Linked DNA regions of Cricetulus griseus. The protein of the gene in region 4 binds, or shares a complex with, the protein of the main gene of each other region. Links are inferred from orthologs where the notes say so. Each region holds a gene or a part of one and is shown on either strand. Other genes may lie near its edges.

Region 1 (3,570 bases), on a different chromosome or scaffold from region 4:
ACTGCTTTTTGATCCTTGAGCGTATTTTAAATGTAGTTTTCTTTATCTCTTTCAGTAAGAACTCAATGGTATTTATTTAATTGTGACCAACATTTCCCCAGATGTCTACCACTTTGATTAAGTTTTATAATGCCATTTCATTATCTGCAATAGAGACTAACCTATCTATGGAAGTATGGATTAGAAGAAATTTACTGTTTAACTGTTTATAAATGTAGCTGAAACTCAGCTTCCATGTCCCAGCTGTATTAAATTAGAATGTTTGTATATGCCCCAACACATGTAAAATCATGCAAGAAACTGCCATAATGAAAATGTGGGTAAATCTACCCTTTGTCTCTTCATCAATTCCTTCTCCTTTTTACACCTTTCTCTACACACACACACACACACACACACACACACACACACTTACAGAACACATTGCCAATTGCCCCAATGCCATTTAAAAATTTACAGAAATCAATACTTTTCTCATAAACCTTCAAGCATTTGAAAAAATTACATGTATACTTCAATTTGAAATACATTTCATCATGATAGTACTTCTAAGTGTATTTTAAGAGTAAAAATTGGTTGAAAGACACTTAGAATTGGTAATATGCTACATTATTTTGTACTTTCATAATTAAATTGAATTTGAGATATGATAGCATTAGAAAAAAGTAAACTCACCACTTCTTCATGTCTGTATTTCCTCACATTAATCCCATTTATCTGCAATGAAAGAAAATACTTAGTTTCAAGTAGTGTACTGTAAATTGGCTTTTGTTTGCATCTATAAAGACAATAATGAGATATATACCTGTAGAATTGCATCTCCGATGAAAAGCAGTCCTGACAGCTCCGCTGTGAATAAGAAAAAAAATTGAATACACCTTGGCATTTGTCAAATAAATAAAGATGTTTTGTCTTAAGGTTAAAACTGTAAACAAGCTATGTCTTTTCTATGGTTAGTATTTCATAGGGTCACACACAATGTAAACTCAAAGTATTAATATGATTTTTTTTCAGTTGCTGGAATAGGCAGACATTTCTTTTTGGTTCTAGAAATTTATAACCTTACAGTTATTAAAACATGGTCAGTCCCCTCCCAACTTTGTGACTTTTTTCCTTTTTCAAAAATGCCAATTAGTGTGGCCCAAATACTTTTGGATGTGAGGCTTTCCAGTTTAGCATGTTTGACTTTTCAGATGATACATTCTGGAAGTGTAACTACATCTTGGAAAGTTGGAAGAATGAGTATGAATGTGATCAAGGCATGTTATTAACAGTTTTCTAAGACGTGTGTGTGTGTGTGTGAGTGTGTGTGTGGTGTGTGTGTGTGAGTGTGTGTGTGTGTGTGAGTGTGTGTGTGTGTGTGTGTGTGAGTGTGTGTGTGTGTGTGTGTGAGTGTGTGTGTGTGTGTGTGTGAGTGTGTGTGTGATGTGTGTGTGTGTGAGTGTGTGTGTGTGTGTGTGTGAGTGTGTGTGTGTGTGTGTGAGTGTGTGTGTGTGTGTGAGTGTGTGTGTGAGTGTGTGTGTGTGTGTGAGTGTGTGTGTGAGTGTGTGTGTGTGTGTGTGTGAGTGTGTGTGTGTGTGTGTGTGTGTGTGTGTGTGTGTGTGTGTGAGTGTGTGTGTGTGAGTGTGTGTGTGTGTGTGTGTGTGGTGTGTGTGTGAGTGTGTGAGTGTGTGTGAGTGTGTGTGTGTGAGAGTGTGTGTGAGTGTGTGTGTGTGAGTGTGTGTGTGAGTGTGTGTGAGTGTGTGAGTGTGTCTGAGTGTGTGTGTGAGAGTGTGTGTGAGTGCGTGTGAGTGTGTGAGTGTGTGTGAGTGTGTGAGTGTGTGAGTGTGTGAGTGTGTGAGTGTGAGTGTGTGAGTGTGTGAGTGTGAGTGTGTGTGAGTGTGTGTGTGGTGTGTGTGTGAGTGTGTGAGTGTGTGTGAGTGTGTGTGTGTGTGTGAGTGTGTGTGTGAGTGTATGAGTGTGTGAGTGTGAGTGTGTGTGAGTGAGTGTGCATGCCTGTGTAATATATACATATTATGTATGCATATTCATTCACATTTGGTCACTTTTCTTAGTGCATTTACAGTATAATATCTCCATGCAAATACCTCAGATTTAGACTTTCCATCTGTCTGTTCTATGCTCTGTTCTATTACTTTGCTGTTTTCTTGATAATTGCCAATAAACACTTGATTTATCTGTGATAGTTTTTAGATGAAGCCTCATATGAAGTGAGTAAAATTGAGAAATCTATCGAATATGGATTTGTCCACTAAATGTGTCTTCATTTTTCGATCTTTAACCAACAGTTCAGATGTGTCTTAATTGTGTCATTTCACATATGGTCAATTAATACATGGCCATTTGAACTATGTGAATCCATCATTTTCCCTTTCTGTTCTGTAGGAGGAACAAGGGAAACTGAAGAACCAGATTTGACTTCTCACTATATGAGGCTTGGAATCCAGGGGAGCCACATCGATACCAGTTAGTGAGCGTGGGATTACAGAGGACTGACCACTTCAGGGTTAGCTAAGCACATTACCTCTTTGCTCCTTGGAGATTTTGGAAATGACAACTGGAATGTTATGTTCTGCACCTCCCTAGAAAGAGACAGTCATACATCATATTTTTAAGTCAGCTTTTAGCCAAAAAATTTAAAAATAACAAATAAACAAAAACTGCAAGCTATAAATATTGCATCTAATGAATACTAAGCAGAATTGAAATAAATTTGTAGAATTTCTTTTAAATAAGCTTGTCCATGAAGCTTGGATAAGTAATGGGTTTTTGTTGGTTGGTTGGTTGGTTGGTTGGTTTTTCAAGACAGGGTTTCTCTGTGGCTTTGGAGGCTGTCCTGGAACTAGCCCTTATAGACCAGGCTCGTCTTGAACTCACAGAGATCTGCCTGCCTCTGCCTCCCGAGTGTTGGGATTAAAGGTGAGCGCCACCACTTCCTGGTGTAGTATTTAGTGGTTTTGTAATGACATTTAATAATTAGTAATAACTGACTATAAAATTTTTATTTCTCAAATAAAATTCATAATGTTAGTAATGACATTCTCTTCAAAATCCATTATGGGAAAGCAAGGCATCTTGACATTTGTTATGTAGGATTCCACACATCAGATATTTTATATATTTCAATTCTCTGACTATTCTATTCTGGCAAACACACACTCTTTCAGTAATTCATTTTGAGTGCTAAATAACCAGAGAGACCTTCTGCCTATACAGATGGATAAACAAAATCATGAGATGTCTAAGTGTGATGGGAACAGAACTACCTGTGTTTCCTAATTAGTATTAGACTCCTGCGTGTAAAAGCATAGGCTAACCAATTATCATCCAAGAATCCAACAGCGGCCCTTGGCTCAAATATGAAAAGAAGGAAGTGCAATAAGGAATCAAAATTTTTATAAAAGCAAATAAACAATTCTTAGAATCATACAGTTTCACCCCAACAGTGTAAGAAGTTTGGGTGTGTTCGGTGATAAACCAAGGACATATATAAACAAGTGAAGTGTTGTGTAGAGACGGAGTATACATGTTTAGCACAGGTGGTTGAAGGGGCCATCTAGAGTCACTGGT
Region 2 (3,570 bases), on a different chromosome or scaffold from region 4:
CCTCCTTAGATTTGGAACCAGGACACCACTTGCCTGTCTCCCCTGCCCTTCCTATATGCTCCTTTATTTTTTAAATTTGCTTGTTTGGTTTTTGTTTGGTTTTTTGAGTTAGTTTTACTTTGTAGCAGGAACTATTCTAGAACTTGATATTTAACCTAGGCTAGCCTCAAACTCAATCCTGCCCCAGCCTGGCCTGCCATCACAGGTGAATTTGCAATTCTGATCAAGAATCACTTGCTGTGTACTCATACTTGATCTTCTGAGGGTAGACTTGGTTCCTATAGAAAGCAGTCAGTCCTGTATTAGTCAGGGTCTTTTAGAGTAACATGATTTTAAAAATGAATCTGTATAGAAATGGGATTTATGGGTTGGGTGATGGTGGTACATGCCTCTAATCCCAGTACTCAGGAGGCAGAGGCAGGTGGGTCTCTGCAAATTTGAGTCCAGCCTGGTCTACAAAGTGAGTTCCAGGACAGCCAGAGTTACAAAGAGAAACTGTGTCTCAAAAAACAGAAAAAAATGAAAGAAATGGGATTTATTAGACTGATTTACAGGCTATGGTCCAGCTAATCCAACAATGGCTGCCTATGAATGTAAACTTCAGTAATTGAGTAGATGTTCAATCCATGTTCAGGTGTCTTAGCTGGTTTTCAGTTTACACCAGAATCCCAAAGATTCTAGTGCCGGTGAAGCAATGGACTTGCTAGCAAGGGTAAGAGCGAACAGGCAAAAAGAGATGTCTTTTACATAGGCTTCAAAGCAGAAGGTGTGGCCTGGATTAGAGGTGGGTCTTTTCACCTCAAAAGATGTGGATGAAAAGTGTGTCTCCCACGTCAGAGACACAGATGAGAAGTAGATCTTCCCACTTCAAATGATGTAATTAAGCATAATTCCTCACTGGTGTGCCCAGCCATTTTTGAATTTTAGTTAATTCTAGATGTAGTCAAGATGACAATCAAAATAGCAATCACAGCCCTATCTGAGAGACACTAAGGGGGGCAGAGGTGCTCAGGCCTCCTTCATCCTCTCTCTGTCCAGGCCTCTCTGGGTTGTCAGTGTGTTTGTATCTGGGGTATGTGCTTCCTGCTGCTCTCAGCAGTACTAACCTTGAACTATACATTCTCTTGCATACACATGACAGCTGAGAAAGATGACAAAAATGCTCTGTGCTTTTCTTTCTTGACATACACCAGTGACACCTTGTAACAAGGACCCAGATTGTCTACATTCACTCTGCTCCATGTATTAGCTTCAAAATTCTTCTGGTCAGATTATTTAACTTCCTTGAGCTTCGTTTGCTTCATTGACAATTCATAATAATAGAATCCTGTTTGATTCTGTCTCATATGAGGATAAATGAGCACTGGTTTTCTAACAGTATGCAGGACATAGTATTCAGTAATATTAGCTATTATTCTGTTTAATCTGTTGTCTCTGGTCTCCACATGGTAGCCTTGAAGTAGACACAGGAGTAAGAATAAAGGAAGAACAGGAAAGCAGCTAGGAAGCCATGCTATTGTACTTCCTAATAAAATTCCAGAGTGTGCAGTCTGGAAAAATGTATTTTGCATGTCTCATCCTCTTTGTACAGAGATGTGTTTTGACACATCTAGCACTTAGTGTTGGTATTTATAGTTACTCCTTTGTCCTTCATATAAGATGGGCTGTTGTTAGAGAAAATGTGTTAAGGTTCCTTCCCTTCCTTCTCTCCCTGCTGCTCTCACTTTTTTAAAATCCCTCTGTACACATACAGAGTCAAAGCCTAAGAGAGTTAAGGGCCCAAAAGAGCTCTGAGCCAAACCTCCATTCTTCTCTGCCGGGGATCTAGGCCAGGGTCATATTGCAATTCAAAACGCTCCATTCCATCCTGGCTTCCAAAACCAGGCAGATTCATACATGTTCTCTGAGCACCTGTTGTATTCAGCGTGAACTCACGTTTAATATGAGAACCCCATGACAATGAAACTCTCTGACTTGCCAGAACTTCTAGTGCATAGAAAGGATCAGAACTTCATCTGTGTACTGAGTTATGCAGTCAGGGGGACCAAGTGAGACACAGAGGAAGCAAAAGACTCATCTGAGGATTGATGATGCTTGAGTAACATGAGGAGCAACAGTAACAATAACTCTGGGCCACCCCCAGAGAATGTGTAACAAAGACAGTGACATGAAATATGGCCAGTAAGAGACTAGCAAACTTGTCTGTCTATAGAACCAAAAAGCTTGCCTTACAGAGTATGGCAAGAGACAGGCAAACCAAGATGATAGAGGCCTCGAATCCGGTGTTAGTCTGTCTGACTTATCTGAAGTGACCTCTTCATGTCTTCTTTCATTAGGTTTCCCAAAGTAGCATGAGGAAGTAAGGCACATAGAGATCCAGTCCTTCGGAATTTGCTGCAGCTAAGCTGGGACCAGAAGGGAATTATCATCTCTTCTTTTATTCCCAGGCCACTGCACAAATGGAAGAGCGACTAGCTGAATTCATTTCCTGTAACACTCCAGAGAGTGTGTTGCCCTTGGCAGATGGCACCCTAAGCTTCATTCATCATCAGGTGATTGAGATGGCCCGAGACTGCCTGGACAAATCTCGGAGTGGCCTCATTACATCACACTATTTCTATGAACTTCAAGAAAATTTGGAAAAGCTTTTGCAAGATGTAAGTGTCTTGATGTGGGGACTGATAAAGCTTCCACAAGGTAATTTCAAGAATTAACAGAGCCTACTCTTCCCAGCTACTAGCCAACACATCTCCTTGCCAGTGTGTAGGAACTTCCAGCTTTGGTGCTGGTGAGCTCATATCCCTTCCTAGGCCTCTCCATCACTAAGAGAAGCCTGCTTAGTTTCAGAGGAACTCAGTTCTGTGAGTGCTTTTCTTTTTAAATACTCTTTTAAATTTATTTTTGTTTTACTTGCATTGGTGTTTTGCCTGCATGTGTGTCTGTGTGAGGGTGTCAGGTCTTACAGTTACAGAGAGTTGTGAGCTGCATTGTGGGTGCTGGGAATTGAACCCAGGTCCTCTGGAAGAGCAGTCACTGTTCTTAACCACTGAGCCATCTCTCCAGCCCCACTGTGAGTGGTTTTCTAAAACCAAAGCCATTACTCTGCCTGAGACTCCAACATTGGTAGTTGGAGTCTACCAATACCAACTAACTTTGGTATTGTACATAGGTATTTGACTTCTTACCAAAAGCAAACAATGCAGCAGAGGTTGACCAGATGTGATGGTGCATACCTTGAATCCTAGCTCGTGGGAGACTGAAGCATATCCTAGTGAATTCTAAGCCAGTGTTAGGCTAAGCCTAGGCTACATAGTAAAACCTTAAGAGAAACAAACAAACACATATAATAATAATACAAAATACAGTAGTGGATATATGAATTGTCTTCTACTGAAAATCATTTATTTCAGCATAGCTTTCCAACTATCCTCAGCTCAGGGAAAGCAGAGCTAGGGCTTATCCTGTGAGTGTGTCCATTAACTGATATTTCATTGACACAGTGATAAGTTCTAACTTTAAAGATGTGATCCTTTCAAATATAAAAAGGTCTCTGGGAGGAACTGAAAATTT
Region 3 (3,570 bases), about 180 Mb from region 4:
CAAGATGTGAAAGGCACTCTGTAATATCTTCCAGCTACAAGGTTTGCTGTCCACAGCTGCTGGACACAGGTACGCATTCTGGATGGCTCTCCGGCCACTTTTCGAACTGACTAGACTCAGGCATCATTTTTAAAAACCCATAATTTGAAAGGCATAATTTTCAAACACATAGGTAAAGGAATACAAAGAAGGGCAAGTGTATCTCATCCTTGACAGAACACCAATGGCTATCTGAAAGTCAAGTGTGGCCATCATACTGCATAGAGAAGGAGACCAACTACAAGTGTGTTCTCTATGTACACAGAATTGCCAACTACAGGAAGGGGGTATTTAATGGTGGAGGAGACTGAGTGGCACCCATCACCATTATCTGTCACCTTCAAGGAAAAGAAGTTACATACTGGAGAAGGGAAAGCAAACACAGTTCTGGGCTTCTTAGCAACTGTGACTCAGACAGCCTCAAAAATGGGTGCCCCTTCCCATGACATGCTGAAGGCTATAGAGACCTCCAATTTCCTGCTAAAGGCATGGTTGACAATTAAGACAGTCAGACCACTAGTCTGTTCTAGATATTAAAAGAAAACTTGTAACTCACTTTCAATATATATATAAATCCTAACCTAGGAATAACACACGTGCTGTGACTTATTCAGAACTTTTACATTTTAATTTTATTTCTTCTGCATTTGTGTGTACATGTGTGTGCAAGTGCATGTACAATGTGTGTGCATAGGCCAGAGGTTACTTTGAAGTGTCTTCTCAGTTGGTCTCATAGGAACCTGGAGCTTGTCAATTTGTCTAGACTGGGGCTGGTCACGAAGATAGCCACCCGGCTCCACACCCGACATTCCTGGCTTTTATGTATATGCTGGAAATCTGAACTCGGGTCCTTGTGCATATGTAGTAAGCACTTTACCACCAAATCCCTCCATTTTAATTTTGACAGGGTACAGGTAAAGATGGGGCAGAGTGACTGGCAAACAGAGCCCTGGGCTTTATTCTGAGCACTGAAACACTTAACAGATGGAGACAACAAAAGAGCACACCTCCCCCACCTCAGTACTCGAAGGACTCTCCTCAGCTTGTAGCTTATCTTAAAAGAAGCCCCGTCGGACATCCTACCTTTCTTAAGCTGAATGTTGAGCCTCTTGCCTACTTTCTTAGTGTTGTACACACTGCCCACATTGGTGCTAAGCACATTCGGTGGAGTCAAAGCTGGGGCTGCGGGTGGTTTAGTGGAGGCATGAGCACTATGAGGTAGTCGGGGGTGAGCATCCAGCTGCTCAGGAGGATGATTCAGTCTGGGTGCTCTGGGCAATGCTTGAGGCACAGTGCTGGCCACACTCCTGTTGTCCACACAGTGGCTGTCAGGGCTGAAGCGGCTAGGGGAATAGTTGTTCTTCTCTCGCTGTGAGAGTTGTTCATACTGCTCCTTGTTTGCTGCAGGGACCACGTGGAACCAAATGACACGTGTACGCATGGCTTGGCGGAACATATGTTGTGCTCTGGATTTGACAAAGAATGGAAGATTAGCAAATGAAGGCTAGCAGAGCAGAAGATAACATGAGCTTGATTAAGTATACTAATTAAGCAACAAGAACCAACAGACTGTTGGAACCATTTATGAACCACGTTTGTAAGCTCTGATAAAAGCAGAACAGTTTCTCCAAATATAAATTTCTCATTCTGTAAATAAAAATGCTAAACCTATCTGTGACTGTAGATAAAATACAGTGTGCTCCACTGTAAATCATCAATAATGATTACGTGCTAACACCTTTAATCTAGCTTAATACTGACAGAAAACATACACAGCTTTTACTTCTCCCAGCTGTGTCCAACCTGCAGTCCTTCATCCTCCTATATCTAGGGTAGTTATGAATGCAGTCCAATACATTTGTAGATGACAAGGACATATCACAATGTCAAAAGGTTGGATATCCCTGCACAGAATTATGCCATGAAACTAATAAGGGCAAAAAGTGTTTTCTTACTAAGGGACCATAGAACTTTTAAAGAAATACTCTATAGTATAATTATGGAAATATTGGAGGCAACTAACCACTCATCACTTATCATCAAAACTGGTTCAAAAATCTCACCAACACTAATTGCTGCAAACAGAACCTAATGATGTATCCACCACCACCCACCCAGTCTGGATCCTACCTGTTGTGGAGCCCTAAGGCCCACTGTAAGGCAGATCCCACTCATACTGGTACCCGGGTATCACCTCTAAGTAAGAATGCTAGTCACACCTACCCATTTTTAAAAGGGTTTTGTTACTGTTGCTATTTTTAATTTAGTAAGGGTCAGGATAAAGAAAGCACAAGAAAGAAAGAGTATTGTGACTCAAAGGAGTCTCCCTCCTTATTTATACTGTGAAAGACAAAGCTAGAAATGTGAGTTCAAGTGAGGCTAGGGTGGACTTCCAGAAAGCAGAGAAATCAGCAGCACTGTAACACTAAAATGAGGGACAGAACAATGTGGGAACAGCTCAACTGGTTAGAGGGGGCTCTAAAATATAGAATGACAGGAGTTTGATTAAATTATAGATGATTAAAAAACTAGATGATTGCATACAAAACTGTCTCCTGTGGTACAGTATTCAATAATGTGTCAAAGCACCTGAGACAAAGGTGCCCCATCATGCCACCAGGGGAGGGGACCCCACTGTGCCCAGGGGAGAGCACCCACTGACACCAGGGGAGATACCCCACTGCCATCAGGGGAAAGGACCCCACTGGCACCAGGGGAGAGGACCCCACTGCCACTAGAACACTTACTGCTCAAATCTTCTGTTTCGAAGATCTCCATCGTTAATCCTCACAATGCAGTCGTTCTCATGGAAAAGATTTTCTTGCTCAGCTTTACCACCTTTCTCCAACCGCTTGACTAACAACCCCAGTGTTCTGGAACATCAAGAATGTGAACAATTACAGGGGTAACTCTCCTTCCATGTGCTTTAGCTCTATGGTACAGGCTCATCCACTCCCTTAAAAGAAGATGGACTAGGGCACTACTGATATTCAAAAACTCCCAAGGTTCTAAATTATGTGTAGAAACTGACCCTTTCAGTCAATATCAGATACCATTTTCTGACTTGCCATTATTAGCCTTCTGAACCTAAGTGCATACTAAGTCTGCTTCAAAATGCTGACAACAGAGCCTGTTGAGGGAAATCAGTGGGCAGTGGGTGTCACAGTCTGAACAGGGACAGTCTTATGGATGGCTTGGTAGGTTTCTGCTTTAGTCCTGCTGGCATGCTGCTGCAAGCAGCCCTTGATTGTTTCACAGCACACACAGATCATGAGGAATGCCTATCCTCCCTGTGCTTTACGTTCCAAGGATAAGAGCAAAGTCTTCATAGAGAGTCAGAGAGAGAGAAAGAGAGCTTCCCTTGTGCATGAATTGTGAACTCAACAACAGTCTGATAATTGGAATTTCAAAACCTGGCAAGTGAGTGATCTGCTGCCACACTCCTGGCTGAAGAAAACTGCATGCAGGAAAGCGGTTCAAAGAACTTGGCATTTCTCTCATCTGTATTGGCACTCAAACTTTAAGACAGGG
Region 4 (3,570 bases):
TTGGCATTACGTTTGAAGGAAATATTGCTGGCAATAGGAAATGGTTGAACTGCAGTACAACAGACGGAAACCGAGCTGGACAAGAAATGAAGGTGTGGTTAGCTGTTATAGGATCTTGAGTGAGAGATAATAGACTGGAAATATGGGTGTCATGTTGATTTTAGGGAGTTAAGCCATGTTTTAAGGACAATTGTATACTCTATAGAAAGTTGTGATATAGGAGGGGGAAGTAAAACCAGCTATGTGACTTGCCAAATTTTGCTGGAGCAGTGAAATGGGCTTTGTTTGGTTTTTCTTTTGCTGATCTTACTCAGGTGGCTGATTCACAGAAAGGAGATGAAAAGTACATTTGAAATTTGGAGACATAAGTATTATCACTTTGGCTTTAAAGTTGTTTTAAATGTAATGAAAACAAGCTGTTTATGGAAAGCTCTGTAATGGGGCTAGAGGCTTTGTTTCAGGTGCAGTATTTGAGTAGAACCAGAAAGCACAATGCCCTGCACTCCATCCCCACCTTTTATTTATTTATTTATTTATTTTTAAAAAGATGCTTAGTGGTTAAATTCTTAGTGGGTTCAAGTCTAGGTGGGAGATCATATTTGTTCGGGAGAAACATCAGGAACAAGATAGTAACTTAGCCTTTTGGCTGAGTATGCCGTTAAGGTAGGAAAGGGTAAAGAATGAGAAAAGGGAAGAGTGAGGTGGATTCAGGAAGAAGAGGAGCATCGGTGAAACATTAAACTAGTGATGAAAACTAAAAAGTGTTTCTGCAGTTATCAGGAGCTGGCAGCAGTTTTCTTACTTGAATTTTGTCTTACTATTTCTAAGTGAAGGAAAGTTGTGTATGGGTTATAAGTATTAATTAGGATGACCCATGTATTTGTTGGGAAACATTTCTTTAGAACATAGTTAACATATCAAAGGTTATATTTCAGATGTGTACCTTAGAAATCAAAAGAACTTTAATAATATTAGAGTTTTGATTTTAGGACTTCCATCCCAGTGTGAAACTCATTCCAGAGATTATTTTTCTCAGTGGCTTTAGGAAATGCTTCTGTGTATTCATTTCTCAAAAAAACTTTATGCTGTTTTATTGTACAAGGCAACTAAGGGAACTGTCTTAGTCAGTGTTCCATTTCTGTGAAAAGATACCATGACTACAGCAACTCTGAAAAAAGAAAACATTTAATTGGGTATTGCTTACAGTTTCAGAGGTTTAGTTCATTACCAGCATGGCGGTATGCAGACAGATTTGGTGCTGGAGGAGGAGCTGAGGGTTCTACGTATAGATCTGCAGGCATCAGGAAGAGCAGGCACTGGGCCTGGCTTGAGCTTTTGAAACCCAAAGTCTATCCCCAGTGATATACTTCCTCCAATAAGGTCACACCTACTTCAAGGCCACACCTTCTAATCCCTCTCAAGTAGTGCCACTCCCTGATGACTAAGCAGTTAAATATATGTGCCTCTGGGGCCATTCTTATGCAAACTACCACAGAGACCCAGTTAAAAATCACTCAACAGCTCCCCAAAACACACACTCACGCACGCACGCACAAGTGGCAGAGGGGGAGCCCAGAGTCTTGTGTGCTAGGCAGGTATTCCACTACCTAGCCTCCTCCATGTTCCTATTAGTGTGGCCAATTAAGCTCTGCATAGAGTGTTGAACTGTTTTCTGAATCCAAAGTCCCAAAGTTCACGTTCCGCCAACAAGCAGCATGGTCAGACTAATTATTTTTAGTGAAACATTTTTTTCTGTTTTATTAATGTTTTTCTCAATTAGATTCTTTTTTCTTCTTTTTTGCACCCCCCACACTCCCCCTTCCCGCTTCCCCTCTTCCCTTCCACCCTACTCCTTGGGGGGGGGGGGGCTCTCCAATCAGGAGATCTTGTCTTTTTCCCCTTCCTAGACGGATCCATGTGTCTCTCTCTTAGGGTCCTCTTTGTTGCCTGGCTGGTTGTCCTTTCCTTCATGTCTAATATCTACTTATGAGTGAGTACATACTATATTTGTGTGGTACATTTACACAATGGAGTACTACTCAACGTAGAAAAATCTATGACATCTTGAAATTTGCAGGCAACTAGAAAAACTAGATTGCCGGAACTAGAAAAAGCCATCCTGAGTGACATAACCCAGACCCAGAAAGACAAATATAATTAGTGAAACATTTTTTATCTTATTTTTAGGGGAAGTTCTAAGTAATATGGATTTGTAATTAACTTGTCGATTGTTTATTATGACAGTTGGAGATTTATACCTTGGATGCTGTTTAGTTGAAATCCAGATTATACCATCAGTTTTCAAATCCTAAAACCTGTAGTATCTGATTCTGAACTAGTAGAATAATAGTTCCTTAATAAGATTATAAGGCATTTTATTCCAATAATTTTTACCACAACATTGAAACCATGCTTTGTTCATTTGTTTCATGTTAACTTCGTTATTGTATGGAGCTTTGCAAATGTCTTATTGCACTTTGAACCTTTAGTCAAAGAAGTGAAATGTTTGGCAGATTATTGGTGTAATGTTCCTCTCTTTTGGGTGGATTTCATGATAAATGTCTTGTAAATCCATGTTAGGATAAGCCCACGTGCTTTGTTAAGGGTCCCGTTTTCTATGATATGATTGTTGCGTTACTGGTTTTATATGTTGAATACATAGACCTCTATATATTTATTAATTTAGAATAATTTAGAAATTTCACTTAGATTGGTTTAACTTTCACATTTTCTCAGTCATTGGTCATAATAGATTAAAAATTCCTCATCTTGAAAGAAATAATACCTTTTTTTTTTTTTTTTTTTTTAAAAATGAGTTTTTGAGACAGGGTTTCTCAGTGTAACAATTCTGGCTATCCTGGAACTAGTTTAGTAGACTAGGCTGGCCTAGAACTGGGATTAAAGTCATGTGCTACTACCGCCTGGCTAGTATTGATATTTTTCTGTCACATAAGTCCTCTAATTTGAACATATTAGTGTCCTGTTTCTTTCTAGCTGTAAATGAATTTGAGTACATTTTAGAAATAAAATGCAAGAGAGTGGCAGCACATACCTTTATTCCTAGCACCTGGGAAGCAGAGGCAGGTGGATCTCTGTGAACTTACTGTTTATGAAGTAGTAATTGATTTTCCTTGCATTCCTTTACATAAGGTTTCAAAGAGGAGTGATCGCTACTTGGAATGAGTGGTTATGTTTTAAACCAGTTTATTTCTATTGATTTGTTTTAGATCAGCAGTCTGTATGAAGAATTATTTTATGTTTACTTCCATTACTTTGTCATTAAAATAGTTTCTGATAATTTGAATGTTAAAGGCATTTCCTGTGAAATGATCATGTATGTATTTAACCATGTAGATCCTCAGTTTGTGGTCTGCCAGCTAAAGGTGAAGATATATTCCTCCAATTCAGGACCCACACGACGGGAAGACAAGTTCATGTACTTTGAGTTTCCTCAGCCATTGCCTGTGTGTGGTGACATCAAAGTAGAGTTCTTCCACAAGCAGAACAAGATGCTCAAAAAGGTTTGCACTTGAGTTCTATCTGGTAGAAATAGCTGTGCCATGAGTAACC

Evidence for each region.
Region 1: the proteins of Pten (region 4) and Sntg1 are in contact, whole or in part, in a crystal structure (PDB 7PC7), measured with the Homo sapiens proteins. The link is inferred for Cricetulus griseus from reciprocal best matches to the Homo sapiens genes PTEN and SNTG1. Residues at the interface, in NP_000305.3 of Homo sapiens: Asp395, Gln396, His397, Thr398, Gln399, Ile400, Thr401, Lys402, Val403; in NP_001274742.1 of Homo sapiens: Gly67, Phe68, Gly69, Leu70, Ser71, Ile72, Lys73, Gly74, Glu77, His78, Ser85, Lys86, Ile87, Ser88, His118, Val122, Leu125, Arg126.
Region 2: the proteins of Pten (region 4) and Mast2 are in contact, whole or in part, in an NMR structure (PDB 2KYL), measured with the Homo sapiens proteins. The link is inferred for Cricetulus griseus from reciprocal best matches to the Homo sapiens genes PTEN and MAST2. Residues at the interface, in NP_000305.3 of Homo sapiens: Pro391, Phe392, Asp393, Glu394, Asp395, Gln396, His397, Thr398, Gln399, Ile400, Thr401, Lys402, Val403; in NP_055927.2 of Homo sapiens: Lys1112, Lys1113, Tyr1114, Gly1115, Phe1116, Thr1117, Leu1118, Arg1119, Ala1120, Ile1121, Arg1122, Val1123, Tyr1124, Met1136, Trp1138, Glu1141, His1170, Val1174, Ile1177, Leu1178, Leu1191.
Region 3: the proteins of Pten (region 4) and Pard3 are in contact, whole or in part, in an NMR structure (PDB 2K20), measured with the Rattus norvegicus proteins. The link is inferred for Cricetulus griseus from reciprocal best matches to the Homo sapiens genes PTEN and PARD3. Residues at the interface, in NP_113794.1 of Rattus norvegicus: Asp393, Glu394, Asp395, Ser398, Gln399, Ile400, Thr401, Lys402, Val403; in NP_112514.1 of Rattus norvegicus: Ala599, Gly600, Leu601, Gly602, Val603, Ser604, Val605, Lys606, Gly607, Asn608, Arg609, Ser610, Lys611, His614, Lys622, Ile625, Met659, Leu662, Arg663, Met666.

The regions. Positions count from the first base shown.
Region 1 is NC_048595.1:235,603,873-235,607,442, forward strand, and holds part of Sntg1 (gamma-1-syntrophin), read right to left. Parts: intron 2,583-3,570; coding exon 2,525-2,582; intron 850-2,524; coding exon 806-849; intron 718-805; coding exon 676-717; intron 1-675. UniProt on the Homo sapiens protein: Adapter protein that binds to and probably organizes the subcellular localization of a variety of proteins. May link various receptors to the actin cytoskeleton and the dystrophin glycoprotein complex.
Region 2 is NC_048595.1:36,019,449-36,023,018, forward strand, and holds part of Mast2 (microtubule-associated serine/threonine-protein kinase 2), read left to right. Parts: intron 1-2,447; coding exon 2,448-2,657; intron 2,658-3,570. UniProt on the Homo sapiens protein: Appears to link the dystrophin/utrophin network with microtubule filaments via the syntrophins. Phosphorylation of DMD or UTRN may modulate their affinities for associated proteins. Functions in a multi-protein complex in spermatid maturation.
Region 3 is NC_048596.1:204,208,307-204,211,876, reverse strand, and holds part of Pard3 (partitioning defective 3 homolog), read right to left. Parts: intron 2,913-3,570; coding exon 2,787-2,912; intron 1,506-2,786; coding exon 1,123-1,505; intron 1-1,122. UniProt on the Homo sapiens protein: Adapter protein involved in asymmetrical cell division and cell polarization processes. Seems to play a central role in the formation of epithelial tight junctions. Targets the phosphatase PTEN to cell junctions.
Region 4 is NC_048596.1:28,747,650-28,751,219, reverse strand, and holds part of Pten (phosphatidylinositol 3,4,5-trisphosphate 3-phosphatase and dual-specificity protein phosphatase PTEN), read left to right. Parts: intron 1-3,354; coding exon 3,355-3,521; intron 3,522-3,570. UniProt on the Homo sapiens protein: Dual-specificity protein phosphatase, dephosphorylating tyrosine-, serine- and threonine-phosphorylated proteins.